Linked DNA regions of Oryzias latipes. The protein of the gene in region 1 interacts with the protein of each later gene in a pairwise test. Links are inferred from orthologs where the notes say so. Each region holds a gene or a part of one and is shown on either strand. Other genes may lie near its edges.

What was found.
Region 2: the proteins of wdyhv1 (region 1) and asl interact in binary tests that used the Homo sapiens proteins (3 or more experiments, as listed by UniProt). The two-hybrid records come from large-scale screens. The link is inferred for Oryzias latipes from reciprocal best matches to the Homo sapiens genes NTAQ1 and ASL.
Region 3: the proteins of wdyhv1 (region 1) and mif interact in binary tests that used the Homo sapiens proteins (3 or more experiments, as listed by UniProt). The two-hybrid records come from large-scale screens. The link is inferred for Oryzias latipes from reciprocal best matches to the Homo sapiens genes NTAQ1 and MIF.
Region 4: the proteins of wdyhv1 (region 1) and E3 ubiquitin-protein ligase XIAP interact in binary tests that used the Homo sapiens proteins (3 or more experiments, as listed by UniProt). The two-hybrid records come from large-scale screens. The link is inferred for Oryzias latipes from reciprocal best matches to the Homo sapiens genes NTAQ1 and XIAP.
Region 5: the proteins of wdyhv1 (region 1) and klhl12 interact in binary tests that used the Homo sapiens proteins (3 or more experiments, as listed by UniProt). The two-hybrid records come from large-scale screens. The link is inferred for Oryzias latipes from reciprocal best matches to the Homo sapiens genes NTAQ1 and KLHL12.
Region 6: the proteins of wdyhv1 (region 1) and coil interact in binary tests that used the Homo sapiens proteins (3 or more experiments, as listed by UniProt). The link is inferred for Oryzias latipes from reciprocal best matches to the Homo sapiens genes NTAQ1 and COIL.
Region 7: the proteins of wdyhv1 (region 1) and actin, cytoplasmic 2 interact in binary tests that used the Homo sapiens proteins (3 or more experiments, as listed by UniProt). The two-hybrid records come from large-scale screens. The link is inferred for Oryzias latipes from reciprocal best matches to the Homo sapiens genes NTAQ1 and ACTG1.

What each region holds. Positions count from the first base shown.
Region 1 is NC_019869.2:4,812,114-4,816,336, forward strand, and holds the start of wdyhv1 (protein N-terminal glutamine amidohydrolase), read right to left. Parts: upstream 2,801-4,223; 5' UTR 2,754-2,800; coding exon 2,680-2,753; intron 2,383-2,679; coding exon 2,283-2,382; intron 1-2,282. UniProt on the Homo sapiens protein: Mediates the side-chain deamidation of N-terminal glutamine residues to glutamate, an important step in N-end rule pathway of protein degradation.
Region 2 is NC_019872.2:8,458,415-8,462,453, reverse strand, and holds the start of asl (argininosuccinate lyase), read right to left. Parts: upstream 2,801-4,039; 5' UTR 2,658-2,800; coding exon 2,643-2,657; intron 2,421-2,642; coding exon 2,226-2,420; intron 660-2,225; coding exon 576-659; intron 362-575; coding exon 305-361; intron 200-304; coding exon 102-199; intron 9-101; coding exon 1-8.
Region 3 is NC_019868.2:14,250,741-14,254,907, reverse strand, and holds mif (macrophage migration inhibitory factor), read right to left. Parts: upstream 2,801-4,167; 5' UTR 2,717-2,800; coding exon 2,609-2,716; intron 805-2,608; coding exon 632-804; intron 542-631; coding exon 475-541; 3' UTR 284-474; downstream 1-283.
Region 4 is NC_019868.2:22,022,659-22,026,901, reverse strand, and holds the start of E3 ubiquitin-protein ligase XIAP, read right to left. Parts: upstream 2,801-4,243; 5' UTR 2,650-2,800; intron 1,064-2,649; 5' UTR 1,031-1,063; coding exon 788-1,030; intron 690-787; coding exon 119-689; intron 9-118; coding exon 1-8.
Region 5 is NC_019865.2:21,840,052-21,844,150, forward strand, and holds the start of klhl12 (kelch-like protein 12), read right to left. Parts: upstream 2,801-4,099; 5' UTR 2,449-2,800; intron 2,350-2,448; 5' UTR 2,293-2,349; coding exon 2,235-2,292; intron 1,036-2,234; coding exon 809-1,035; intron 396-808; coding exon 242-395; intron 1-241. Other genes in the region: ptpn1 (tyrosine-protein phosphatase non-receptor type 1), read left to right, coding at 3,180-3,236, 3,783-3,873. UniProt on the Homo sapiens protein: Substrate-specific adapter of a BCR (BTB-CUL3-RBX1) E3 ubiquitin ligase complex that acts as a negative regulator of Wnt signaling pathway and ER-Golgi transport.
Region 6 is NC_019866.2:24,978,630-24,982,739, reverse strand, and holds the start of coil (coilin), read right to left. Parts: upstream 2,801-4,110; 5' UTR 2,661-2,800; coding exon 2,410-2,660; intron 1,168-2,409; coding exon 327-1,167; intron 254-326; coding exon 164-253; intron 1-163. Other genes in the region: scpep1 (retinoid-inducible serine carboxypeptidase), read left to right, coding at 3,549-3,606, 3,787-3,917. UniProt on the Homo sapiens protein: Component of nuclear coiled bodies, also known as Cajal bodies or CBs, which are involved in the modification and assembly of nucleoplasmic snRNPs.
Region 7 is NC_019859.2:22,455,868-22,459,971, forward strand, and holds the start of actin, cytoplasmic 2, read right to left. Parts: upstream 2,801-4,104; 5' UTR 2,676-2,800; intron 1,857-2,675; 5' UTR 1,854-1,856; coding exon 1,731-1,853; intron 1,647-1,730; coding exon 1,407-1,646; intron 981-1,406; coding exon 734-980; intron 651-733; coding exon 459-650; intron 370-458; coding exon 188-369; intron 83-187; coding exon 1-82. UniProt on the Homo sapiens protein: Actins are highly conserved proteins that are involved in various types of cell motility and are ubiquitously expressed in all eukaryotic cells.

The DNA.
Region 1 (4,223 bases):
ACCTCAAAACAGATTAAGCAGATTTAGAAAATTTATGGATAAATGACAGTGTGATGGCTTTTTTGTACATTTGGGTTTTCTCTCTCTATTTTCTTTTATATTTTCTGCTGGAGTGGGAGGTTTTCTGTCTTCCTTCTCCTCTGCCAGCTTTGATTGCACATTTGTGCCTAATTGTCCAGAGCACCAGACTGGGCAAGGATCTCCAGGGCAGAACATACATACAGGCTTTGTTCTTTGTACAGTATTTTCCACACTACAGGGCTCACCGGATTATCAAGCACAACATCAATGAATGGTCTATTTTGAGCATATGTCACATATAGAGCACACCGAACTACAAGGCAGATTAAGTGAGATTAAAGAGTCAGAGAAATGTCCGTCAGTCAGTCACGTTACTTTGCTTGCAGCACGTGGACAAAACAGACTGATAGCGCTAAAACAAACGTTACCGTGACTACGCTATCACACAACCTTTTTGGTAACCAAAAAAACAGTCCAACATCGCCACACATTAGCCGCGTGAGGGTATTCACAATAACACCCAACCTTGTTTGCAGCATAACTAATTAATAGATAGGGTGATCATGATTTTAAGACAAACTGTTGCTTTTTAAATAAAAAAATTAAGGGTTTTAAGTGTGCTTTATACTGCAAATATACAGTAATTTGGTTGTTTTTTTATTAAATAGTATTTCTTTTTCCTAAAATGGGGTGTAACATAAATTGGGGGCTTGTCCGGGATTTCTTTGGTTTTTGTAATGTACTGTGTGTAGTGGCCAGTTTTAGGGATTGCCTATTTGTTTGATGAACTTCTTTGTTTGGTTTGATTGACCGTTTTAGTGAGACGCTTTCACAACATTTGAGCGTTATATATTGGGTGCTCCCAAATTCGAAGTCTGCGTCCTTCAATGGCCGCAGTCTTCCCTGGCGATGTTACTCGGGTCCTTTGTTGAGCGGGTAGGTCAGATGTTAATGGCTGTGAATTTGGACGAGTCTAGCCTTTAGATAATTCCAGCCATTACATCAGTGAATGTCCTGTTGCCTAGCAACCGTGAGTCCCGAACAGGGAGGAGGAGTGAACCAGGCATGGAGCCATTGTTGTCAGAAAATATCCGGGTTCTACTGCTATGCATCTTGGGATATGGACAGCATAGAAGGGTACACCAGAGCAATCCTTGAAATCGGGTAAAAAGAAGGCTGTATTCGGTGGCCATATTTAAAGGACTTGTTGAATTTGGACAACATGTTACGTAAGCAGCCTTCAGATGCAGCCCAGGAAGAACACAGCCCTCCAATTTGGACACAATTAATGGAGTACAGTAAACCCTTGTTTTTCGCGGGGGTTACGTTCCAAAAAGAACCCGTGATAGGCAAAATCCGTGAAGTAGAAACCTTTTTTTTTAACAATTATTATACAATTAAATTCTCTATTATACATTGAAAAGAAAGAACAAACCGTTTTACAGGCTAAGGAATTGTTTCACAAATAAAAGTACTTTAGAAAAGGTTTTTCAACAAATATCTTCTGTATTGTACTGTCAAATAAGAATTTTAATCATCAATGTGAACAGAAGGCTTCAAATCGCGGAGATTAGCCCCGCCCACCGCGACCCGAGTATTTGGATTAAACGGGAAGATATTTAAAATGATTTTTAAAAAAATACAAAGTACGGTCAGACAAATAGTGACTCAGGTGTAATTCACTGCTCTTGAGCCGCTGCATCCTGACTCCGCTCTGCAGTCTCCCTTTGAAGCCCGCGGTGCAGCTGTGTTTGTTCGGGAGAAGAACATAGTGATAGGCAGTTGTTGTTGTCGCTCCTTTTTTTCATGGGTTATAGAGAAACTCGAAATTGCAAGATGATTTGCACGTATCTGTTGTAAATTTGGCACGCTGATTTACGTACGTGTACATATTAAACTGCAATGTTATTGACGCACAGGTAGAGAAGTGAAGTGACTTTTTAGCCAATCAGAATGCAGAACACAATGCACGATGCAAATCCGTGAAGTAGCGAAACCGTGAAAAGTAAACCGTGTTATAGCGAGGGATCACTGTAGCTGTATTTTGAAACTACCAGATGTTTTGCAAAAAGGATTTTTCTTTTTACAGAGAAGGCCTGTTATTTACTTTCAAATATTTCTTGAGACCACCTGAACCCTTGAGGGCTCGGTGCCCATCATTCTCAGTATGAGGTACTTTTTGAAATATTATTTTTAAAGCAAACATTTTGTTTATTCGATTGTCTTGTTAAGCCGTTTAAAATGTTTCCAGATCTTCTTACCGTTCTGGTGTCGTTAGAGATGAAAATTACAGCAAACTGGTCCAGTGGAACCATTTTCTGTGCTTGAATAAACTCACAGAGCTTCCAAACATTTTCCTCACTGAGAAAGTAAAGGAAAGCAGCATTAGCCACTCATTCACTTGATTAAAATGAACTATATTTCCCTGAAAATTCATTCAATCATTAATTAGACAGATGGCATTGAAATAACTCATTCACTATAACAGTTTTAAAAATGGGTATAACATTTAACAATGTAAACTGTGAATATCGATTAGCCGAGCGGATCCGCTTAGCATTTTGATGTTTTTCTTGACAATAAATGATTTATTGACACAAAACTAAAGACTGCAGGACAGTGGGCTGCTTTTCTGATTTGTTAAAACTTGGTTTTTACCAATAACAGCTGGTATAAACGCAGTTTTCCCGGCTTGGTATTACTTCCACACCTTTCTTTAACTGACCCTTCATGTCTGTAAGCTAACCGGAAAGAACCTCACCGAAAATACAGTACGTCACATCCGTCCTTTCAAACTAAAAGCCCATTCCTGTAGCGTTGATTTCACCAACTTTTTATTTTATTTTATTCTTATTGAACTTCAAAGGATGACACGTACACATTCACATAACTACAATAGAAAGATATAAAAAGAAAAAAGAATACAATACAAAGAAAAAATAAATAAATAACATTAGAATTGTAGCTCACACTAGGTATGGTCATACAACATGTGATCTTCAATGAAAATTGACAGTTTTATTGCATTTCTGTTTTTCTTGAATTCCAAGGATTTAAAATGTAAACAGATCTCTTTATGAAATGTATTGAATAATGATTTGATTTTAAAAAAATCTGCTCTCATTGATGAAGAATTTCCCAGAATTTAATAAAGTATCAAATGCCAAATCAAATAAATTATCACCAGAAAGTACTCACAACTGTAACGGAATAGAAATAGGAAAAGGAAACTTTGAGGAGCACCAACAAACACAATACTCCCAAAAACTGGTAACATATGTACATTCAAAAAACAGATGATCAAGTGATTTTATATTTATTAACAGTTATTTTCTTGAAAACCAAAACGTAAATGTAGCAGTTCCTTGCATGGGTATACTGCATTCATTGTTTAAAATGGGTTTCTTTGTATTTTGGAAAAATTGGGTTTTTAAAAAACTTTTTTGTGTAATGCTGGGACATAGAATGAGTTTTGTAGAATGTTGGAAACAGTTCTCCAACAAACAAAGAACGTATTACATAAGTTTGGAAGTTTTGAATTAACCAGTCGACAATCAAACAACAAAGATGGAAGCAGGAATTTTGCAGTCTTTGATTTTGGAAATGAATCTTTTTGAATTGAGTGGCAACTCAAACACCTCATCTAACACAGTATGTTAGGGAAGTTAGGGTCATGCTGCTGAAGGAAGCGACACACTGGAAGGTACTAAAAAAAGTGAGAGTGAGGCAGACAAAATTTGGAAGCAAGATCATTGAAGCTTGCAAATATACCGCTTAGGTACATGTCCTTAAAGTTGATTATACTGTACCTTAATCACTTCCCAAATCATGAATACGAAGTCTGTCTGACCAGGGAGAAAAAGGTGATTTTTGTGTATAGGACTAGTGGTAAGCACTTGAGTGAGTCCATACGTCTGTCTGAATTGAAACATAATTTTAAAGGTATTGGTAACTACTGGATTGTGTGTAATATAGTGTGAAATGACACAGGGGAGACTAGATCCAATTAGGGCTGTCAGAGTTTTTGTATTATAGGAGGAGGCTTCAAATCGATACCAGTTGATGTCATAAGCTTGGAGCCAATCTATCGTTTTTTGAACATTAGAGGCCCAGTAGTATTGGCACAGGTTTGGTAGGCCTAAGCCACCTTGATGCTTAGGTCTTTGTGATAATTTTAAACAGAGTCTTGGGGTCTTACCGCT
Region 2 (4,039 bases), on another chromosome or scaffold:
CGATTTCCCTGTGATGGAACCAGGAAATGCAGGTTAACACCAACAGTTTCAGTAATAATATACAGAAGATGAGTTTCCATTTGCGAGTCGGTCTTAGTTACACGGATGCCCGCTCCACCATGGTCGAGATGAGCTGGAGAGAATTTTCTGTCAGGGTGGTGATGGCGTCTCGCATCCAGAGTCTCATATCAGTCACCACCTGGTCCACCAGAACACAAAGTGCAACTCTAAAGCTTTTCTATGAATTTATATGCTAAACAAACCTAAAAGGTACAATAAAAACATGAATAAACTAAAATAAAACCTGATCATTTCTGCTTCTGCCTGTGTGAAGTTTTCCTGCAGGGGCACCAATGAGCTCCTGAAAAAAAAGGGCAACAGCATAATTAATATTGTACACATTTCATAAAGCAAACGTCATAAAGTAACGTTTACATTGAAAACATGGGTTTTTAGTTTAACAAACATCCAGACTTTCGCTTAGACATTAGTGGAGTAACTCACAGCAGGCTGTGTAAAAGCTCAATGGCAGATGTGTGTGAACAGGATGTATGCAATGGACAGCTGCACATCACCTTCAACCGGCGTTCATTGGCAGTGTGAATGTCTTCATCTCCAGGTCTAATGACAAAGTTACCTTTAGACCACTCCTCTGAAATCTGCAGGGGGGGGGGGAAACATCAAAGATGGTCACTTTAAGTGGACTTTAACACAAAGCCTGTAATCAAAAAACAAATGTTTGGGTTTGAAGGGAAACAGTCTATGGAACTGTTCACTTGTCCAAACAGAACAGTAGGATGGAGATGACATGTTCAAACCTGCCCTGAATAAAACTGAAGCTGCAGCTGTCACATGATGACAGTATTGTCCACAACACACCCAGCAGAATGCAGGAATGCTACAACAGGGCATTTTTTACTGCGGTCATCTCCTAACCACCTGAGAGTATGCAGTGATGCACTAAACCAGTGTTTTTCAACCTGTGAGCCGTGAGAGATGGTTTTAACACAAAGCCTGGAAAAAACAAATGTTTGTGTTTAAAAGTTGAAGGGAAACAGTGTACTGAACTGCTGACTTGTAAAACAGAACAGTAGGCTGGAGAGGACATGTTGAAACCTGCCCTGGTTGAATCTGAAGGTGCTGCTGTCATAACGACACTCAGCAGAATGCAGGAATGCTACACCACGGCATTTTGACAGCTGTCATTGCCTAACCACCAGAGTATGCAGCGATGCACTAATGCACCTCATTTGAGTAATAAATGTGACAAACACAGGGAAATAACAATTCATTTTAACAACTATTTAATTCATATCATAATGTGCAATTGACGATACGATTCATAGTTAATATCGGTTCATTTTGAACAATCCAATTCACTGACCTAAAATCAATCTAGGGACGTCTTTAGCCAAAGATTCAACCAGTGGGACTCTGAGAAATAACTGGGTACTGAACAGTGCAGGTGAAGATTTCCAGATTTAGTGAATTTCTTACAAGATAATCAAGTCTAAATTAAATATGTGAACTAACAGACAGATAAACACATTAATCAATTCACATTTTAGTTTCACAAAGTCACTGTTGTTTTTCCACATGATAAAGTCATGATACCACACTGTATGGTCACATGTCTCACATGTCTCACTGTTTTCACACATTGGACTGGAATGATAGCTTGATCATTTTTTGATGTGTTGACCAGTGTAATGACAGTCATTTTACCTTAAAGTAAAAATAAACCTACCACGCCTCAGTCCAAATGTTACTCTCCAAGATCGATTAAAAATCTGTTTATTTCATTTCGAAATTATTTTTAACGTAAAGTCGATTTGATTAATAAGTTAATTAAGATAGATCAATCTGGCTGGATAAAATGACAAATCGGTTAATTGTTAGTAAACTAAAGAAATTGCCAGAATGTCATCCAAATAGGTCCTGTTTTCACACCGAGTAGGTGGATATAAAAAAAGACTGATTTATTTCTGTTTATTTGATTCTTATTCAAGACGCTTTGACAAAACATAACTTTGATTTTATTTCATTTTTACATATTTAATTGGTAATGTGCCTTGTGATTTTTATCAAGGAAAAAGTGCCCTGTCTGGCTCAAAGAGAGAGAATAACGCTGCACTACAACCACAACTGAATGAATGAATGAATGAATCCTCAGGACCGGTTGATTCAGTGATGGAGCCAGCAGCAACAACAACAGACTACTTCACCTGATCCATCCCACGTAAGATCTGCTCCTTTTCCTCACTGCTGACCAGCTGCGCTTTTTCCAGCGCTTTGACATAAGCTTTGCTTCCTCTGATATCTGCGTCCCACATCCTCTGATCGTAACCGATGGAAGCGTTGAACTTCTCCATGATTGGGTCCGTGTCTCCAACGAAACGGCCTCCCCAAAGTTTGTTTCCCTTCAAGACAAACGCGACAAATTAACACAATGACTGCACACTAAACCCGTTCATGTTACTTTAGGCGGTTAATTCTTAGCCACAGAAACGGATTTCGGCAAAGGAGAACCAGGTTGATCGTTTGTTATGTTAGCAAACAGCTGAGCTGCTGGTTAAACAGCAATGAACATACGGGAAATGTAAAATAAAAAAGGAAGATATAACGTTTTCAATTGCACCTACCTCACTATTGGACATTTTATAAATCGGCAGGTGTCCTGTTGTAGAGGAAAGTAAACAGTCAAAACTGTAGCGTCAGCAGTGCGAACAACCAGGGTTAACTGAGGCTACAAGCGTCTCTTTGAGGAGCGCCTCGAGTCGAGGACACGTAAATCTTCCTCTGTTGCTATGCAGAATGTCGTCACAAATCAGGGCATGTGTTTCCGGTTTAACCAAAATAAATTTTCTTAAAATTATTATTATTATTATTATTATTATTATTATTATTATTATTATTATTATTATTATTATTATTATTATCGTTGTTGTTGCTTGACTATTGTCGTCTTCTATTATCAGTTTGCATCAGTTTTTTATTTGGTTATTGATAAGTAAAATCCTTTTCTTGAATACATGTCATATACTTTATTTTTTTAAAGATTTAGTTTTTATTAAAATAGATTTGAATTAAAAATGAACACATTTACCAAACCTCAGCTCATTTTTCATACAGTGTTTAGACAGACTTCTTCAAACTCCAAATACTTTGTTTTTTAATGGATTAGACAAATAACATCTTTGACAGTAAAATCTAAATATTGGTGAAGGTTGACATCTATATAAAAAAAAACGCCCTTCTCACCCTCCGCGGGTGGTTTATCCTCCAAGCTCGGGTCCTCTGCCAGAGGCCTGGGAGCTTGAGGGTCCTGCAGTATCTTAGCTGTTCCTAGCACTGTGCTTTTCTGGACTGAGAGGTCTGAGGTCTTTCCAGGTATCTGTTGTAGCTACTCCTCCAGCTTGGGGGTTACTGCCCCGAGTGCTCCAATTACTACAGGCACCACTGTCACCTTCACTTTCCATGCTTTCTCCAGTTCTTCTCTGAGTCCCTGGTATTTCTCCAGTTTCTCAGGTTCCTTCTTCCTGATGTTCCCATCGCTTGGTACTGCCACATCCACCCCAACGGCTTTCCTCTGTTCTTTATCCACCACTACAATGTCTGGTTGGTTCGCCGTTACCATCCTATCAGTCTGGACCTGGAAGTCCCACAGGATCTTTGCCCTCTCATTCTCTACCACCTTCGGAGGTGTTTCCCATTTTGACCTTGGGGTTTCCAGTTCATATTCTGCACACATGTTCCTGTATATTATTACCTGCAGGAATAATAAGATGGCCAAAGGAAGAGATACAGACCACGGATGTTAAATCACGAAAGCTCCTCACCATGCTTGGAGGGTTCCATCCCAAATCCAGCACCCTGTGACTGTATGCTAGCCGAGGAGGCCGAAGACTAGTGAGTGTAGAAGCCAATATCCAGGATGAAACATCCAAGATGCATGAGTACATCAAGCTCAAGGCCCCAACTGACAGTGTGCTCAGTGAATGTCTCAGGCAATGGAGAGCAGAGGATACAGTGCTGGAGG
Region 3 (4,167 bases), on another chromosome or scaffold:
TTCTTATAGCCTGTGACAAATGACAGGCAAAAAACAAAAAGGTTTACAAGTTTAGAACAATTTCCCAGATGTATATATTTTTGCACCATTTCGTGCTGGATTGTGGTACTTTGTTTATCAAATTAAAGTGGATTGAGGTACAACAAAAGCTGTTACATTTAACCAAAAATTATATTAATTCTGCAAAGAAATGTTCCTTATATAAACATCTTTTTTGTTATGCTTTCACCAAAACGATGTACAGTAGAAACCAGAATGATGTCTTAAAAAAAGAAAACAACACTTTATTATTCTGTAACAGTGTTTGCTTTATTGCATTTAGAGAAGACAGTGAAATCAGTGCAATGCAAAAATTGATGTAATTAAATTGCAAAGTTGTTCCTAAAGTGCTTCATCACGTAAGCATAATTAACTTCTCCCCTAAACAAAGGAAATTTCTGGAATGAACTTAAGTATCTGACAGTATCTTCCATCTTAGCCAAATGTAGTGTTGTTCCAGCCCACATTGGCTGCATCCATGTCAACAAAGTTAACATAGATCCTGAAAACAAAAAAAAAAGACCAAACGGAGACAAGTCAATAGGGGCCCCATCTTAGTGTTTATTAACTTCCGCTTGGACTCACACCTCACCTGTCTTGACAGATGCCCAGGTGTTTGTTGAGCAGGCCACACAGCAGTTTGGAGTATTGCTTGTTGTGAGCCCCGCTGATCTTGCCGATGCTGTGGAGGGAGCAGAGCGCGCAGGGGTCTCCCTTCCCTCCGAACATCATCATCTGGTCGGGGTTGATCAGCACTGCAATGTACTGAAGGCACAACAACAACACGCGTGAACGCGGGAGAAGCAGGCAGTAGCGGTTTTAGGCACGGGCCATACGGGCGATCGCCCAGGGCGGAAAAATGACGGAGGGGCGGCGCCAGCGGCTCAGCCCTTGTAAAATACTTTGTGCAGCACTATTGGTTTTTTTATATCACAGAGTTTGTAACAGCCTGAAACCTGGTGGCGCCCCCGCCCCGCCCTGCGCTCCCTCCTGTCTTTGAGAAGTAGACGCAAATGTGTGTGAGAAGGAGAAGGGAGGGGGCGCGGGGTGAAGAAGGAGAAGGGAGGGGGCGCGGGGTGAAGGGTGCAGGTTGAGAGGCGAGCACGGAGCGCAAAACGCATGCGCAAACCTGGCTGGATCTTCTTCCAGGGGGGCGACGGTCACAGGCCAGGGCTCAGTGCTTGATGAAAAAATAAAAACTGCGCCGCCATGTAGCGAATTGGAGCCCCTGAGTGCAGCTGCACGCGCTCCCGCTGTAAATGTGTGACGAGGGGGGGGGGGCGCTTCGGGTATAAAAAAGGTATAAAAAAATCATGTTTTTTTGGTTATTTTTGTGTGAAATGCCCAAATAAAAAATAGGAAAACAAAACAATGTTTTCACTAAGGTGACAGTTGGTTTAGTCGACAGACTTGATGCCTTTGTGAGGACATTTATGCTAAATGCAAAAACATCAGAAATATGAAGAAAAAAGGTCAAAGCTGGTGCCCAATTTAGAAAGAAAAGAAAAGAAGAAGAGGAGAAAAGAGACAAAGAAAAGGGTATTATCGCATAGCTAGATGCACGTTTTCTAAATTCGAATGCTATCTGCCCTCCAACAACAACAACGTTGCAGAGGAAAAATCTCTTGTTTGGTCTATCATGACCAAAACTGAAGTAGGCCCAAATATTGTAAATAACGTCATTTTTAAGATTTTCTTCTTAAATGTTTGCTCTGTCTTAACTTGTAACATTAGTTATGATTCGTGTGTCTGTCTGCTCTGCTTATCACAAAGTTTTTGTTGTGTTTTACTGTTGTATATTAGTTCATAATGTTAAATAAGCTGTGATGGTAGCATGCGGCTGCTGCTGCAGCTGCAGTTAGCTTTTCAAAACTCCAGTTGATCAAGTCATACCTGAGATCACCAATGTCTCAGGAGCGACTCACTAACCTGCCGTTGTTAATATCAATCATGCAGGGGGGGGGGAGCAGATTTCATATGATGACGTTATTGACAAGCTTGCATAAAGGAAGGCCACAAAGGTTAGGTTTTAGTTAGTGTTGTCTGTTCTTAGTGCTGCAGTTACATTTATTCTAGTGTGTTATTAGTGTGATTTGTAGTTTATAATATTTATTTTAGATTATTTATTTGTGTTTGATTAAATATTTCCTAACTGTATTTTTGCCATGCTGATAGTCTTTTAATTTTTATGTTCCGATAACTGTTATAATGCAGTGCAGAATTCTGATAAACATCTTTTTTTTTATATCAATTTCTTAGCTTCAGTTACAATAAATGGACAAAGTGACTCTATTGGGGGGGCGCCAGAGGAGGGTCTCGCCCGGGGAGTAATTCAGGGTAGAACCGCCACTGGAAGCAGGCCACCCGAACACTCAACCTTACCATCCTCATCACTCTCAGAAAGGTGAAGACAACGTTTAGATTATTCAAAGTTCTCCAAAATAATTCTAAAACGTCACTGACTGATACACACGCACAGTCCAGATCATGAGTGTGAAACTGACTGGGTGGGTCGGGTGCAGTAGCAGGCAGCGATCTCTTCTCTGCCGCGGGGGTGTCCATAGATTACCTGGGCGGGCTTCCCCATCGCCTTGGCCAGTTCCTCCGTAGCCTCAGACAGCAGGGCCGCCGGTACGTCGCTTTTAGCCACGTTGGTGTTCACTACAAACATCGGCATGATGACAACTTTCTGCAATCCTCACACTGATCGACTTTACTCTCACGAGGAAACACTCTTCTTCTCTTATAGTGTTCTCACAAGAAGGCAGAAAAGGAAAACAGCGCCTCCTTCTGTTCTGAAAGTAAACTGCGCTTTCTTACTTTTCCTTTATTTTTCTGCTCGAAATTTTGTTGGTAAAGTCTGAAAAAAAACACACAAATGTAACATGTTGGTCTGGTATTTATTTTAAATTTGATGCAGAAAGGTGTTCTTCCCATTATTTCTTTCAGGTTAAAACACGCTGTCTTTTTTATTACAAGACAATAAAGATGACAGAATAAATTTACTTAATTTCATTTCAGCTAAACATCATGTTCATAAATTTAAATGTACTAACGAAAAACCTTTCTTGCCCATTTTTATCTGTGAATTTATATATATTTGCCCCTTTGTTCAGTTTTCTCTGTGTTACAATACAATTACACATTGAATGTACTGATTGTCAAGAGTGTTAATAGATTTTTCGCTTTGTTCTATTTTTTAAAAGTTGGCAAAAATGGCTATTTAGTGATTAACTTTTATTTGTAAACCTTTGTTTTGGTTTTTATATTTTATACAGCCTTGTATTTGATTTTACTGGATTACTGACCATTTCGGTTTATAACAAAATATTTTTGATTATTAAGCTCTTAATGGTCTTGTAAAGCCTGTTTAACAGATATTGCTACAGTTTGCATCTGGTTGATGTGCCCGGGTCACATTATGAAGGGGTGACCATGTAGGCCCATTTTCTATTGCCAGACCTGAGCTGTGTAAAATATCTGTGCAATATATTAACTTTCAATTCAAATCTCATCTTAAGATATAGTAGCTTTCAATATTAATTATTTTTCTGTGTGTGATTTATTTCATTTTTAAGGTACATGCCTTATTAATAATAATAATAATAATACATTTTATTTAAAAGCGCCTTTCAAAACACCCAAGGTCACTGTACAAAGTTAGAGGTAAAACACAATAAAATCACAAGTTAAAAACAATAAATAAATTGGATTCATTAATAAAATCAGCTGACAGAAAATGAGAAACTGTGTTCCGGAAATGCAAGCTTGAACAGAAAGGTTTTGAGTCTGGATTGGAAGATCAGAAAGGAGTCAGTGTTACGTAGGTCTGGGGGGAGAGAGTTCCAGAGTTGGGGAGCAGAGCGACTGAAGGCACGGCTCCCCATGGTGACCATACGGGCCGGAGGGACAGAGAGCTGAAGGGAGGAAGAAGATCGAAGAGAGCGAGAGGGAGTGTTAACATGGAGGAGATTAGAGAGATAGGAGGGAGCCAGGCTATGGAGGGCTTTGAAAGTGTAGAGAAGGAGCTTGAACTTAATCCTAAAGGCTACTGGAAGCCAGTGCAACTGCTGGAGAACGGGAGTGATGTGATGGAAGGAGGGGGTTCTGGTGATGATGCGGGCAGCT
Region 4 (4,243 bases), on another chromosome or scaffold:
TCCTTCTCCTAGAATAATAATAAAAAAATATTATGAACAAACATTTAGATTTAGAAAAATTAAAATATTACCGGTACATCTCATTTGTAAAGGGGATGTTTGAACAAACATGCTTTACCTTTGCTGTAGAAGCCAGCTTTAGCAAGCAGCTCGTGGTCAATCGGGTGCTGGACGCGTGCAAAAGTGCCGAGTCGCTCGTCAAGATTTTCCAAATTGACAGGTGTGCGATGTTGGTTTCTGCTGCCAGTCTCTTCATTTTCTCCTCCATCTCTTTCCAGAGGCACATTTCCCACGTCATGACCAAGGATGTAGAAGCAGTGGGAAAAATGTTTTTCATGCTCGTTCCAGGGGGTGTCCCCAGGTTTCCAGCCACTTAGCTTGCCTCCACAACTGAAACACTCCACTTTATCCTCCTTTCCTAAGTAGAACAAACCTGCCTGAGCCAAATCTCGAGGTCTGACTGGAGCAGAACGCGGCCACGAAGAGAAAGTTTCCAGGCGGGCTTCTTCGCTTTTCATATTCCGGTTCCGTGGATATGGAGTCTCATCAACAATGGCTCTTGTTCTCAACTGGTAATCTATATATCCTTCAGTTCCATCATGAAGGCCCCCATTGCTGAGGGGCATATGGGGATTTGACTTAAAACGGTTGAAGTGTGTGCAGCGGAGAAACGTGCACGATGGGGAAACCTGCATGGAAGGAAAATGTTGAACTTTATTATTTAAAAAGTTGAAAAAGAATTGCCCAACATTTCTAAACTATTTTTTTTTTCAACATAAACAATTACCTGTATGTGTCTGTCCACTGGTTGATCTTCCTGGGACCAGTTTTCTACCGTTTTCTGGCAACTGAAGCAGCGTACGCGGTCAGAGACTCCAGTGAAGAGGAAGCCAGCTTCAGCCAGTTGCAGCGGTGACACCTTCTTGCTCCAGCTGGAGTTGTAGAAAGATTCCAGACGATTGTTTATCTTAGAGTAATCAATTGTGGAGTCCGATTCCCAATTCCCATCTTGGCTGGGGTCACACATCATTGAAACAAGTAGCTGTGGCGGTAAACACAAAATCTAAAAGAAAAGAAACATGAAAAAGGTTTGAGTTAGAAGTGTAGAACCTTGAATAATAGATCATGGGGGAATCTCTTTTTTTTTACTTAAAGACCTACTCCGATCATCTTTTGAGCCATTTTTAAAGTGTTCCCAGGGGTCTTCTAATTACCACTATGCCATTTTTGTCCAAAAAAGTGCCCAGATTTTTCTGCAGAGCAGCAGTAGATCATTAGAAATTCGCCTCTGAGTTGTTGGCTGGACTGTTGGCATGGAGCAACGCCGCTTCTCTCCATGTTGCCGAGGGCTCTCTGTTGCCATGTTCTCCTGCTAGCTTCAGTCCTCCTCAGTCATTCAGATTTGTCAAAAATATAAAGTATTCTGGAAGTTAACCAGCTTCCCTATCTTTATGTCCACCTTTGACATCACATCGTGCTAATAAACATTGCATCAGCACGCCTGTGTTTCATGCAATTCTTATTCATGACACATACTAAAGGTGTGATGACTTTTATTCAAGCCTAGTCACCTCCCAGAGGAAATTATTTGTCAAAAACAGAAAGTAGAAGTCAAATATCTTTCAGTTGGACATTTTTTGAGAGTGTGTGTAGATAGAATGGTATGGAATGTCCATTCCATTCATAGTCATAATCTGTCCACATAGCTAGGCTCTTTAAAGTTCTTTTAAGCCGGTAACTCAGGAAACCAGATGGATATCAGTTGAAAAAATGAATGTTTTAGTGAAGGCACAAGGGATGGGCACGAGGGCGGCTCCTGTAGTTAACTTATATGCCAAAGGGTGTAGCAGATGTACTGTTCACCATTCTTAAAGAGCTAATCAGATCATTGATTCATCAAAACACAATGTTGGAACACTGTTAATAGGTTTCAGCGATCTGCCACATATGTTTGTTAGATTATCCAGAAATGTACTAGCAGCACAGTCAAAAACAATCACTGTTTTCTACAGGAGGTTGAGACTCTTGTGTGATATTGTTGCCACACATTAGGACAGTCATATGCTGCATTACTCCTTCTGACAAACACGCTGTACGTGGAACTATTTGGTGCACATTTAGCTGTGACATGGGATTTTATCTGCTGGTGGTGGAGGACTGCATGTGATCTTTGCACTGTCACGTTTTTCTGCCTCAGTGATCAAGTGATCAAATCAAAAGCTAACGGCCATATTTACTACAGTAAATATGCTGTCGCAAAGACAGTTTTGCTGTCTTTGCGACAGCAAAACTGAAATTAACATCTCTAACCGCCCAGTGAGCGACAAATGCGTATGCCGTCATTGTTGTGTTTCTACGAACTATCAACTGCATACTTTGCTCTGTTCACAAAGATTCCACCCACATCATTTAAAGGGCTACACATCACGGATTAAAAATTAATATAAAAGAAAAAAGACAACTGCTGGTGTTTTACAGTGGATAAAGGAATCTTACATAAGGAGTCAAATTATTATTTAAAAGTGCGTACCTTTGCTGTAACTATAGTTTGTTTACATTTCATGTAACATTTGACTAGCTAGCTAGTTAGCCTTGTTCGCTAAGCGCGCGATTACTTTACCAGCGGCTCTAAAAACATAAAATACTTGCATTTCTTTGCTCGTGTAGGGAGGTCTTCGGTTCGTGGTTTGAAAAGGTCCTTGATGAGATCGCCCTGTGAAGGAAATCGGCGTAGAAGAATTCCTTTGGCGTGACCTCCCAAAGTCAGGAAGTAAGAACAGCGTAGTCTTTGACAATGCGCATGCGCATCGTCGATTACGCAAAGAAAGTGGGGGTTCAATGAGAAGATTCCAGAGGTTCTGTTTCAGTTTCGTTATGGAAAAAAATATAAAACATTGTCACTTAAACAGAAAAATTTCAACATGCTTAACAGCTCAAGCCCGAAGATGTTATTGCTAAAGAAAGATATGTTTTTGTAACTTATGCAGTATGTGTTGAAACGTAGATTTGAAAAAAAAAAGAGAGAGAAAAAAAACCACGCAGTCCCGAAAAGCGACTTTTAAGCAAATCTCTAGGTTTTTTTTTTCTTCCCAGGGGGGGTTTCCCTTACAAATATGCTGTTTAAAATCAGTAAAATACACTGTCGACAAAAGAAACTAAATGAGTAAAAAACATTTATAAATGTGTCCCTTATGTCTCAAAGCAAATGCGACATTTATATGATTAATTTATTCAAATTTAGCTTTTTTTCTGTTTTTCAACGTTTGGAGCAAGAATACAAAATGCCACATATTTTGAAGTGGGTTTTAGTCTATGCTTTTATTATGAAGGATGCAGTTTTCTTTAAGATCACACTTTAACTTCTGAAAAGTTGGTGGGACAGTGGTTCAAATTTCAGTGTGTTCTGAGTCATTTTAAGTTCAGCCGGCTGTGAGGCTGCCCTGTCAGACACGCAGCATCCAAACTATACAACTTTAGATATATTTACATTTGGTCACATGAAATAAAAAATAAAACATTTTAAACAGCTTCCAAAACATAACCAATGTGGAATAGGGGAATAGTATTAGGCAGAAGTCATAAATAGGGTTTTAATAAACATCCATTTGTTCAAACAAATCTTCAGTGACATTTCTTTGGTTAAAAAAAATACAGAAAAGTACAGGTAAACCACTAGAAAAAAAGTTGAAGCCACCAAACACAATTTGATGAATTCACTTCAAGAAGCAGTGAAAAAGGGAAAGTACGAAGTTTCTGTGCAGTTTGGTAAGAAACCCCCATGCTGAGTGAGACTTGCTGTTTAGGTGACAAGGCAAGCATCCAACTTCCCCTTATTTGATGTGGGTTAATGGGGAATTACATGGTATAAATTAAACACTCTTTTCACACCCCCGCAAGTTTCTCACCCAAGCTTGGGTCCTCTACTAGAGGCCTGGGAGCTTGAGGGTTCTGTGCAGTATCTTTCCTAGGACTGAACCTTTCTGGACTGAGATGTTTCTCCAGGGATCTGCTTTAGCCACTCTTCTGGTCATTTCTAACATTACAGCCACTCCTCCACCTTAGGGGTTACTGTCCTGAGTGATCGGATAACCACAGGCACCACCGTCAAATTAACCTTAAAGCTTTCTCCAGTTCTTCCAGACTTTCCTCTTTTCTTTGTCCACCTCTACAGTGTCTGGTTGGTTCTCCATGACCATCTTGTCAGTTTGGATCTGGGAGTCCCACAGGATCTTAGCTCTCTCAT
Region 5 (4,099 bases), on another chromosome or scaffold:
AAAAGTGAATGTGTCTTATACCTCTAACCCCAATAATGTTTTTAACAACATTTATTAACTTTCTGTGTGTCCTCCATCTCTTTTTCTTGTATTTTATCAGTAACAGCTCCTAGCAAGTAGAGCCAGCCTCAGCTATTTTATTTCATGTCTGTTGCATTAGACAGACGATAAATATGTCACTATAAAGCCTGTTCTCTGGAGAATCTTTATATTTAGCCATTAGAACAGGCATTAAAATTACCTTTCAGCTGAAGCAAACAGGCTGCAGGGAGTAATTCTTGAACATTTTCCACCGTGACAAGCACCGTTTCTGTGTAGACGAAGTCCAACAAGATCTCCATGGTAGATGCAGTCAGTCCTTGAATGTCAACAAAAGACTTCCCCTTTTCTGCAAGCTGGAGGACCAAAACAAAGGCTTAACTGGATGATTTTTTTTATCTTTAAGCTGTAATCCTGTACTTTATGGAACACATAACAGATGTGGGGCTAAAAGGGCAAAAACTAAGAAAAAAAAGTCACTTTAGAAAGTAATATACTACTTTGAAAAGTTTTATTGTAGTTTATCTATATTCAGAAAAATGTTTCTCATATTTCTGAGACTGCCCTCAAGTGGCAGGAGCATGCTACAGTATCTTTATCACATTGAATCAAACTCTTTTTGTTTAGTTTAACATTTTTTTTAAGCAACATTACTCAAAACTCTGAAACACATCAGTTTAATCAGTATAATGACATAAGAAGTACATTTGACACAGATGGTGAAAAACAGGGATTGATGATCAGACTGATGAAGATGACAGACTATTACCTCACTAGTAAACATGGCACAGAAATAGTCACTGCAGGCTGCCAAGACAATCCGATGGGCGGGAAAATCTGTATTCTCAACCCTCAGAGTGATGTCGCAGAGTGTGTTACTCTTGCGAAGCGAGTTCATGGCATTGAGAATGGATTTGGCGTGGGAATTGGTCATGATGTCTTTAGGAGCCATGTTGCTTTGAGAATCCCTCAAGGACCTCAAACTTCCACAAGAGTCTAAAGGAATAAATACAGAAAATCTCTGTGAATACGGCATCTCATTGAACATTCTCTTTTAACAATGTGCTCCTGCAGCCTTAAAAGACATACAAAAACAACTGACACAAACAAAACTGCTTTAATCAACGTGTCTTTGACAAATTGGCCGTTTTATTATTTTAAATATAAACGTTACAAACATTCGAAATATAAAATGTTAGTGGCTTAAAGGGACAAAGATGATCACTGTTCAGACCAGGAGTCTGCAAACCTTAATGCTAAATAAGTCATTTAGTCCAGTTCTTACCAACCAAAAACCACAGAGAGCCGCAAAGTCCCACTTCATTGTTTAGAAACACTTACTTAGGTTTTTGTGGTCATTAAGCTGTTTATTTATAAAAAATAATTTTTCAGTAACAATTTTACTTCTATTACTTTTAACAGCATCACATTCAAGTCTCTTTCAAAATAAAGTACACCCTAAGTTAAAAAAAAAAGATCCTCCTGCTGCAGCAGGTTTACTTGGATCAAAAATGCATTATGTCAAATTTGACATCTGACTTTAGTGCACCATAATCCTTTTTCCTCTTTTATCATTGAGTATCAACATGACAACATTGGTGTAAAATCCCTTTTTTAATGCATACATACACGTGAATCCAATCATATACTTTAAAGACTGTATGAACAGCTACTTGCAGCAGTAGATAATAGGTGCTTTGATCTAAATTTAGTAATAAACCACTCTGACACTAGGATTTGGTAAGTTACTTGACATGTTAAAAGTTTAAACATAAGACTTAAATAACTAAATCCAATGAGTGAAACTACAAACCCATCTTTTAATGGTTAGCATTTTCTTATAAACCACGATAGAAGGATTAAAAAAAGGGCTTAGGAGTATGATGAATGAGGCTGAAGACAAAAAAACAGAGAACCAAGGAGAACAAACGTACAGTAAACACTATCAAGCACTTTCATTCATTTTTGAGGCAAGCAATTGTCTATATTTAGTCGGCCGCGGCAGACTAGCTAATTTATATTAGTATACAACTGCAGTGTCATATAAAAATCAAGAACAAAAAACATTTTTATTCACTGCAGTTTTTCCCACAATACCCGATAACAAAAGACCTTCCCCGGTTTATAACCACGATATTAATGTTAAATATGATCCCTATTAACACTGTGACTTTAGTATTGCTAAAACAACTTACCGTTAAAGGACCTGAACACTTTTTCCACCACTGGGAGGCAATAACTATAGCTACACATGGGCTAGCTAGCAGCAGTAGCCAGCGACAGCTGATGGCTAACATAGACAGACAGAAACTTTGGAAAAGAGAGCCACATGAAGTACACTGACGGCCAGAGTGAGACAGCACATAAAAGCGACACACAGTAAGAACTTCGAAAAATTGTGCGTAATACCTGTCACTGCGGTAAGGCTGATTCAACCCCTACACCTAAGTTGCTTTCCTAGCTACTGTACTAGCCTTAGCATCAAAGTCTGTCGTCCCAGCTCGTGCTGTCCGAAAAATAAATAATTACTCCATCACGGCATGATTTAAGTCAGCCTACATGCGGCTTCTGGAAGGACTTTCATGAACGAAATGTTAAAAAAGCCCCATGCTATGGCGCTAAGCGGTGTTTACAAGCAACACTTTCGTTGCTCAAACTGAAGCTTCGACCCCCTCAGATTGGACGTAAACAGACCGCTACGTAAATGTACGTGCGCGCTCCCCGTCAAGCCGGACGCTCTTCTTTCCAGAAACAAGATGCCTTCGGCGCGCACTCGCCTGTCTGTGTTACTCCTGTGGGGGTGGTAAAATGACCGCTTAAAAAGGGGAAAGAGTTGCATTAAAAGTTAAAAATCGAGTTACATCGCCAAAACAGCCAAAAGCAGTTGTTTTACTGGAGCCTAAAAACTCACTTTACTCTTTTTTAGCCACCAAGGACGTCAGCTACACGGTAGGAGGAGCTAGCAGCGTGTTTCCGCTCAGCCGCGGTATAATCTATGCAGCCGTACTAAGAATCGCAACGGCCAAACACTTGGCAGCTAATACAGGAAACTGTTCAAGTTTCATTCGTTTAATCTTCGCTGTGTTGTCGCTGTCGCATCATTGAGGAGAACAAAAAGACTGTCCGCTGGATCGTAAGCAATGGAAGCCGAATTTTTAGAAATCGATGAAAACGGGAGTTGGAACGCCATTTATCAGGTAGGAACTCTCGACATGTCAAGGTGGAAAGCAGCAATGGGTGAAGCTGTCACTTTTTGAGCCAACATTTTTCTCACTTTCGCCACGATACATGAGCAGAGTCGTACAGTTCAGTCCCCGTGTTTCTCCGTATATTTTTTTTAACTAACCGCCGGCTTTGTTCCCTGTGTGGCCGGTCCATGTTTTTTTTTCTTTCTTTTTTTTCCGCTTGGTGCTCGGACCTTTTTTTTGTTGATGGATGTGTCTGCCCGGGTCCTAAACCGGCAGCACGTCCCATGAGGCAATTCAACACATGTCATTTTAAAGCTTTAAATTATTTTTGCACCATAGCTGTTAAGTTTATGACACTTTCAGCGTTTAAAAAAGCATTTCTCAGAAAAAAATTATTCACATTATTATTTGAGAAGGATTGATAACTGTTATATGACATATTATTGATCGTTTTTTCGGAGTATTCACACACTTATGCAGTTATAAAGGACAAAAATGGCACCATTAACATTTTGACAATGTTAAACAAATGTGATTGTTTTTTTATCTTAACAGGAGATTCGGCAACAATCGTGTGAACTTCCCTGTAAGATCGCCAAGTTACCCGAAAACAAGAATCGGAACCGTTACAGAGATGTCAGCCCCTGTAAGTAACGCCTCACACATCACAACATTACAGAGTTTTTAGATGTTTCATTTAGGGGTATGTAATTTAATCTACAGCCAATATCAAATACTATAATGTTATGTATAGCAGTGTTTATCAACACATCCATCTATTTAGTCAGTGGTTGCATCATTGGTAATAATGGCTGCATTCACCAGCTAATATAAAAGTAACTGATTGAACAAAATGTTTACCTTAGCTTCTG
Region 6 (4,110 bases), on another chromosome or scaffold:
GAGCAGCTGAAGCTGGAGCTGCTGTTCTCCACTCTGGTAAATTCTGTCATCAGTTGTCAGATTTCTGGACGTTTGAGGTTTAAACTTTTGTTTGGGATGTTTCTAAATCCAAGCGGAGCCCCTCAGCAGTCAGATGTTTGTGACGTTGGAGGACGGACCTCACCTTGAAAGCGATCCTTTGCCCCGGCTGTGCAGGAGCGGCCAGCAGGGGCATGGAGCTGTAGTCCCGTGTGGGGGGGCCCCCGGCTCCATTCTGCAGACACACAAGCACCAGATTCAGACGTTTCCTCCGTCTGCAGCGTAAGAGAAAAGGGGCGGGGACTGACCTGGAGGAGCGGTGGCGTGTTGGTCGGGGAACGCGCCTGGAGGGGGGGCTCTTTGTCACTGTTCTGACCGCTGAGGCCCCGGCCTGCTGCCCCCCCAGCACCTCCACGCGCCCCCCTGCCGCCGCCGCGCCGTGACCAGAGGCCGTCCGCGTGTCTGTTAGGCTGCTGCGGCCGTCGGATGACCAGCTGGATCTCTTCCTCACTCCCAGCATCAGCAGGCTCCGCCCCTTTGTCCTGAGGGGGGGCTGCCTGGACCACATCTGTCTGTTTCAGCGCTGACGGAGCTTCTGGGCATTTGGGGGTGGGGGTACTTCCATCAGAGTCTGTTTCTGAGGACGATGAAGAGGGAGGCCGTGTGTTCTTCTGGGGGGGCTTGGTGTTTGGGGGCGTTTTGGAAGCAGCAGGGGTGGGGGGCGCCGTCCTTGCGGCAGTTCTTTTGGGGCAGTTGCTTTCCTCGCTGCTGGACTCTGTGGAGGAACTCTGCGTTTTGGCTGGGGCCTTCTTCTTGTTGCTTCCAGCTGATGGGGGGGCACTGGGCGGGTTTTTTCTGGGGGGGGCAGCAGGTGTAGGAGCAACAGTGTTACTTTTCTCCCCCTCCTTTTTCCTTTTCTTCTTGCTGCTCCTCCCCGGAGACGCCTCCCTCCTGTCAACCGTCTCCTGCTTGCTCCTTCCGGCCTCCCCCTCCTCTCGTTTCTTCTTCTTCTTCTTCTTCTTCTTCTTCTTGTTTTCAGCCAGCTGCCCCTCCTCCCCCCCGTCTCTCCGTCTCTTTTTGCTTTTGACTCCTTCTGCGTCTGCGCAGCTGCTGCAGCCGTTCAGCGCAGCCACACAGTCCACATTCACCCTGCAGAACAAGAAACATTTCTGCATGAAACGCATCCAGAACCGACCCGTTCTACAATGTAAACCCCCCCCCCCAAACCCACGCTGAAGAGAGCGTTCATAGTCAGAGGAAGAAGAAAGGCTCGAGCTTCATCTCAGACCGCACAGGCCTCAGGCAGTAATAGAAAAATGGCCTCCGTGGTGTCTGTGTGTACATTTCCCCAAACTGCATCTTGATCAACCAAGGCCCATTAGAACCATTGACTGATTCTTTAGAATTGGACCGAGCCAGTGTGACGTCATCCATTGAAAACGACTTCCAGCTCCAACCAAATGAAGTCAGTGCAGTCCCCATTCTTGTTGTTGCTAAACGAACACCGCCATGTTGGAGCCAGACAACATCAAGAAGCAGTGATTGGTCAGTCCGAGTCAATGTTTCTATGGCAACCAGTATCACCAATCAGGAGTGAGCTTGTTAGAGGTCCACACCCCTTCCACTTGAGAGCGGGCTCTGGAAAACGTGTCAATCAAATGTTTTGACCATTTGATGTGGGTGGCAAGGAGGCTCCGCCTACCTTTGTTGAAGCATCTGATTGGTCAGTTTAGAACTTGATTTACAGAAAAATATATCATGAATAAAAGAGGATTAACAAAAACATGTTTAAATAAAAGTATCAGATCCAGAATGTTTTTACTGACCAATAGAATGAATGACTAACAGCTGTTTATTTCTCAAGTCTGTGGGATTTTAGTTTCTGAGAGCCACTTCCTGTTTGGAATGCCAGGGGGCGGGGCCACTCAGTCCAGTTCTCATATTCAGTCAATGGTTCTGATCCTCCACCTGCAGACCGACAGATCCATGAAGGTCTTTGTTTTCCTGGTCTGAGCTGGAATCTGGGTCAGAACTGGACGGACGGATGGATCTGATGTTGCTGCTGTTTTGGTTGCACCGCTAACGTTGGGTTGGGGCTGTAAGCTAGTGGGAGAGAGTGTAAACTAGGGGATGATGGGACATCAGTGGAGGGTTACTTCTGCGCCACAGTCCCGCCCACAAGTCAGAGGTGAATTTCTGATGAACTTTTTGAAATAATTTGTCTAAAAACATTAAGATCACTGGGAACACTTTGAAAACAGACTAAAATGATCGGATTGGGCCTTAAGTCCTTCAGGTCCGGATATCTGTGGTGTCAGCCTGCAGGCTCGAACCGTTTCGGAAACGACACCGGCACATCAGGACCCCGCTGTGTGTGGGATGCGCGCGCACCTGACGCTGTCGTTGTCGCGCACGACGAAGATGCTCTCCGTGTGCGGAAGGTAGCAGTCCTCCACGAACAGGCTGAGGACGCTCCCGCGGCTGAACTCGAACTTCTGCCGGATCAGACCCTCCAGGTCCGCCACCACGCGACACGCGTTCCGGTCCACGAGCAGCCAGCACATGCGGCACCCCGCCACGGCCGGAGGGGGGTAGTCAAAGAGCAGCCGCAGGCGGATCAAGCTGTCTCCGAGCGCCGCCATGACACCCTCCGCGACAACACGCCGCCCCGCGCATGCGCAGAGGATAAAGCGCTGCTTTTGTCACGACACTGCCCTCTGCCGGTCCGGAGTGTATCCCATCTGCCTTTTCACTCGTTTAAAATTAAAACAGCATCCCATAATAATTCACGGGGCTCTTTAGGGAGATTTACAAGGATTTTTAACTGTTCTGTTCAGAGTTTGGACAAGGAGGCCTGGATCTCAATAATTCTTCATCCAGGTCAAAGACCCACTCAGGATAAAATCGTGTTGTTGTTTTTTTAGCATGTTCTTTTAGCCTTTCTCTCATGATGGAGGGCATCATGAGGATCACCAGGATTCAATCGTGGCAAATCAGGCGCAGATTTCTAAAATGCTGTTTGAAAACATTTGGTCCCTCCTTTGTTCAGACTCTTGTGATAGTGGAATTGTCCAAGGGGTTTTGGATTGATGAAGCACAAAGAGTTATTTTCACTGAAAGTAAGGAGCCAAGCCTTAAGCCTAGCTTCTGAAACTATACATAAACCCACACCATGATCCTCCCACCACCAAACCTTACTGTTAGCACAATGTAGACAGACAGAGACACTTTACAGCACTAGGTGATGGATAACTGACTGCAGATGGTTGCCGTGGAAACCATGGTCCGTGACCTCAGTGACCTTCGGGGAATTTTGGAATGAAAAAAAAAATCTCACAATGAGAAAAATTCTTTTAAAATTTTGATGTTTCAGAAACTTAGGATCTTCTTTTTTTCTGTCTGTTTTCTTGTTTTTAAAAAACTCAAAAAATCGGAGTCAGCCGATCAGCTGACTCCTGGGCGTGGTCATGTGACTTTTGGTCACGTGACTCGTCATCGGTGAAGTCCCTCTCCGCCAGTTTGCAGCAAAAATGTGCGGCTCCGTGGTGCTTTTCTGGCTCTGCGCGTCCGCTGTGCTCGTCCGTGATGGTGAGTTCCGTGGGTCGAGCAGAACTTCTTCATCACTTCTTCTCCCGCCTCCAGATCCTTTCATCTCTGGACTTGTCCTCGCTTCAGTAAATCCGATGACTGTCAAACGAAAGTAACCTCGGTTTCTGTCGGTGTGCGCATGCTCGTCAGGGTATTTGCTTCTCACCTGTCTGTCCGCAGGGCTGTGCGCGCCCCCGCCACCCAAAGAGGCGTGGAACTACGTGGAGGTGAGGGACGGGGCCCACATGTTCTGGTGGCTCTATCACGCCGACGCTGGGTTCCGGGAGCTCCCGCTGGTCATGTGGCTGCAGGTGCGTGCGTGTGCGTGCGTGTCTGAAGCTGACACGAGCAGAGATGACCTGAGCTCAAGGGTCTTGATCTGTGGGCTGAAGCTGTTCTGCTGGTGATGAAGATGAGAGGAGGGAAACATTTCCATCAGCACTTTGAATCTACAAGGAAGTGCATGAACTAAAATAGAGAAAAGTAGAATCCATGGAGGATCTA
Region 7 (4,104 bases), on another chromosome or scaffold:
ACATCTGTTGGAAGGTTGACAGGGAAGCCAGGATGGAGCCGCCAATCCATACAGAGTACTTCCTCTCTGGAGGTGCGATAATCTAAAAGCATAAATGAGGAGTTAGCAAGTACAGTAGTGAAAAAAAACACTGAAGTGCTTTAGATGGAGCACTTTAGACTTTGTGCGCAAACTCAAGTCTCCATACCTTAATCTTCATTGTAGTGGGGGCCAAGGCAGTGATCTCTTTCTGCATGCGGTCAGCAATGCCAGGGTACATGGTGGTACCGCCAGACAGCACAGTGTTGGCATACAAGTCCTTACGGATATCAACATCACACTTCATGATGCTGTTAAAGGTAGTTTCATGGATACCACAAGACTCCATACCTGTGCATGAGAGTTAAAATACAGCCGTCACTTTTCAACATCAGATGTGCCAATATTCAACCCATATTGCATGAGGATGTAAGGTTTACCAAGGAAAGAAGGCTGGAAGAGCGCCTCTGGACAACGGAACCGCTCGTTTCCAATAGTGATGACCTGGCCGTCTGGCAGTTCGTAGCTCTTCTCTAGTGAGGATGAAGATGCAGCAGTTCCCATCTCCTGCTCAAAGTCCAGTGCAACATAACACAACTTCTCCTTAATGTCACGCACAATCTCACGCTCAGCTGTAAAACAGACAGAAGAAAGCAGTTTATATTTAGTTTTCAACTCTCCACATCCTATTGCTCAAATGTAAAACAGGGCCCACCTGTGGTAGTGAAGCTGTAACCCCTCTCAGTCAGGATTTTCATGAGGTAGTCTGTGAGGTCTCTCCCAGCCAGGTCCAGCCTCAGAATGGCATGGGGCAGAGCGTAGCCTTCATAGATGGGTACTGTGTGGGTCACACCGTCACCAGAATCCATGACGATTCCGGTGGTGCGTCCAGAGGCGTACAGGGAGAGCACAGCCTGGATGGCCACGTACATGGCAGGAGTGTTGAAGGTCTCAAACATGATCTAGAAGAAGAGCAGTGGAGACCTTAGGTCAGTGAATCACACCAGTTATTGTTAAGATCACTATAACCACCACACCAGCTGAATTCAATACAAGTTAAGATTACTTGAGCACAGCCACACAGTTATGCAGAACACAGCAATATAAAGTGATTGTTTAAATTTGTTGACAAGCACATCAGTTGATAGATCAGAAAAGTTTGTGCCCATGCTGCAAAGAGTCATTCCTGATGCAGTGCAGGAAGATCAAAACCTTAAAACATCCGCAGAGGTAAAGAGATCAGCTCAGGAGAGAAGAGTCCTGGAGTATAAGGAGGAGCAGGAGGAAATGATATGGAGCATGAAAAATGAAAAGATTGAAACAGCTTCTGAATGGAAGCTGCAAATGAGCTGGCAACGCAATTCAGAAAACAGTTTCAGGATCCTCACCTGCGTCATCTTTTCTCTGTTAGCCTTTGGGTTTAGGGGGGCCTCAGTCAGCAGGACTGGATGCTCCTCAGGGGCAACTCTGAGCTCATTGTAGAAGGTGTGATGCCAGATCTTCTCCATGTCGTCCCAGTTGGTTACAATACCATGCTCAATGGGGTATTTGAGGGTAAGGATTCCTCTTTTGCTCTGTGCTTCATCACCAACATAGCTGTCTTTCTGGCCCATACCAACCATCACACCCTTGGAAGGCAAAGTTTAAAGTTAGCCCCAAACAAAAACTCTCTGGCTTTGGGTTATGCTGCAGGTAAAAAAAAAAGGCTGTACCTGATGCCGGGGGCGGCCAACGATGGAGGGGAAGACGGCACGAGGAGCGTCATCCCCAGCAAACCCAGCTTTGCACATACCAGATCCATTGTCAATAACGAGGGCAGCAATTTCTTCTTCCATTTTCTGCAGAAAGAAAAATCAGAAACTCAGCATCTACCACTGGACAGTCCTGTTTCAGGGTCTGGACGCTGGGTGTCGCTGTGGTGTCGTTTCGAGTTTAAAAATGCAGGGCTTTGAAACAAAAGGGGTTTCTAGCCCGTCTGACCATGGCCATATAAGGCAAAAGTGAGAGCAGCCTCACCGGCAGCAGCAGACCGGTCCAGAAACCACCCCGTGTCCCAAACAGGTTCGGATGACACCGACAGACGGCCACCCCCTTCAAACATCCTTACCAATCTTTTTTGCCCTCAGCACATCGCATCACTGTCATAAATGTTTGATTGTTTTCCAGAACTACAGCTTTAAACCCGTCAAATAAGCAAAGTCATCCCAGCAAGTGCAGCGAAGGCAGAAAAACTACAGAAAAACACAACGTTTTTTTAAAGCTCAACGGACTTGCTGATTAAAAATAAAATAAAGGCTTAATGTATAAAATAATACTTTAGAATGAAGCAAATGTAAAGTCCTTCATCGTCGGGCCGAAACCCGAGACGTCAGAAGAACCGCAAACCTTGTGGATGCTGGCATGCAGGAGAAGGTCAAACTTGTCAACGCGGCTAGTTAAATATACGAGCGGAATGATAATAGCATCAAACACAGGGATATTTACGACGGAGAAGCAGACATGACAGCAGTTTGTCATTCATTGACACAGCGACATAACATTTTAATTTGCTATCGCCAGACAGAAGTCGCCGACTTTAAACATTTAGGTCTTTAACGTATCGAATAGGGCGTAAATTTTATAAGCAAGAAAACAAAAAGTCAAAAGTTGCCTCTTACCTGTATGAATGGGGGTTCACGACTTGTGAAGACTCTCGCCGGAAGGCAACACTCCTGCGGAGTTTAGTGTTTGAGCTACACTGCAATGAAGGCCTGTGAAGTGCGGGCTTATATGTGAGCTCGTGCTGCAGCCCCTCTCCATAAAAGGAGAACTTTCCGCACGGCGTCCTCTGATTGGCTCCGCCGCATCCACTGGGTGTGGCTCATGCAGATAGCTGCCGTGCACCCTGGCACGCGGGGGACAAGGACCGTGAAAAGTAACCCCTATATTTTGAGGGTTAAGTGTCAGGGGTCATTGGTCACTGTGTTTTTTTTTAAGTGGTTTGTTTTTGTTCTTATTTTTTTTATTATTGTTTTTGAATGAGTGACTTAAAACCCAGCAATTACAACTGCTAACATGGTTCTTGAGAATCAGCTTAAAAACATGTTTTTCTGTTGTGTTGTTCTCACATTAGGGATAAGTCCAGTTAAATTAAAAACATGCAATCATATGTTTACTCCTTATCATCTACCCTGTAATTTGGCTAAGGTAATCCTATAATTTTGCTTGTCCACTTGTTTTTTTCTTAACCAGATCTTCAAAAAAAAAACGTAACAATTTAGGAACTTTTTTTTATATAACTGAATTGTGTCAATCTTTGAACATCCAATTTTTCCCACCGATCACAGACACGTGTATTTGGCAGCCTTGGACTGGTTACAGTTTCAGGGTCACTGACAGTAGTGTTAACACCCTGCACAATATGTGCTCCTGCGTACCGGTCTCACTTACACGTAAGCACATATATCAGAGTGACAAAGATACGCGTGTCCAAGTTGATTTTGGTTTACAGCAAAACGGAGAATCTGTTAATCCCTCTTTTGCACTCATCAGTTTCGTGATGTGTTCGCCTTTGAATGAAAAATATGCAACCTGCTATGACTCACTTGAGTGCACAGAATTACGCAGCACCTGTTGGCATTTTAACCTGAAATGGTGGGTGGAATGTAGTATTCAGCTTTGCGATGCAAATCTGTCTTTAGAAGCTTATGTTGTAAGCAGACAAGACAAAGAGTGGCTTAGTCAGGGTGGCGTTTTAACTCAATTAGGGCACAGGACCAATAGTACTAGTGACTCTGAGATTTGCTCCCTGTGCTCCTAATATGGATATTTGGGAGCCTGCTCTCCAGCAGGGAAGGGAAGTCACATTTTATGGTGCTTTATTTTTTGTAGATGCACACAGGAAGTGTTTGCAGCTAAAGACACATATGGTGTGGTGGTAGTGGGGGGGTTGAGTTGGAGTGATGAGCTGATCAGGGAATTGGCTTTTCTGAGTGGCATTATCCTGTTTTAGAAAGACAAGCACCAATTATAGCGCCAGAGCAGGCTATCCATCCCTTTAAGAGTTCCTTTGGATGACATCCATAAAAGGAGATATCGGAGGATGTC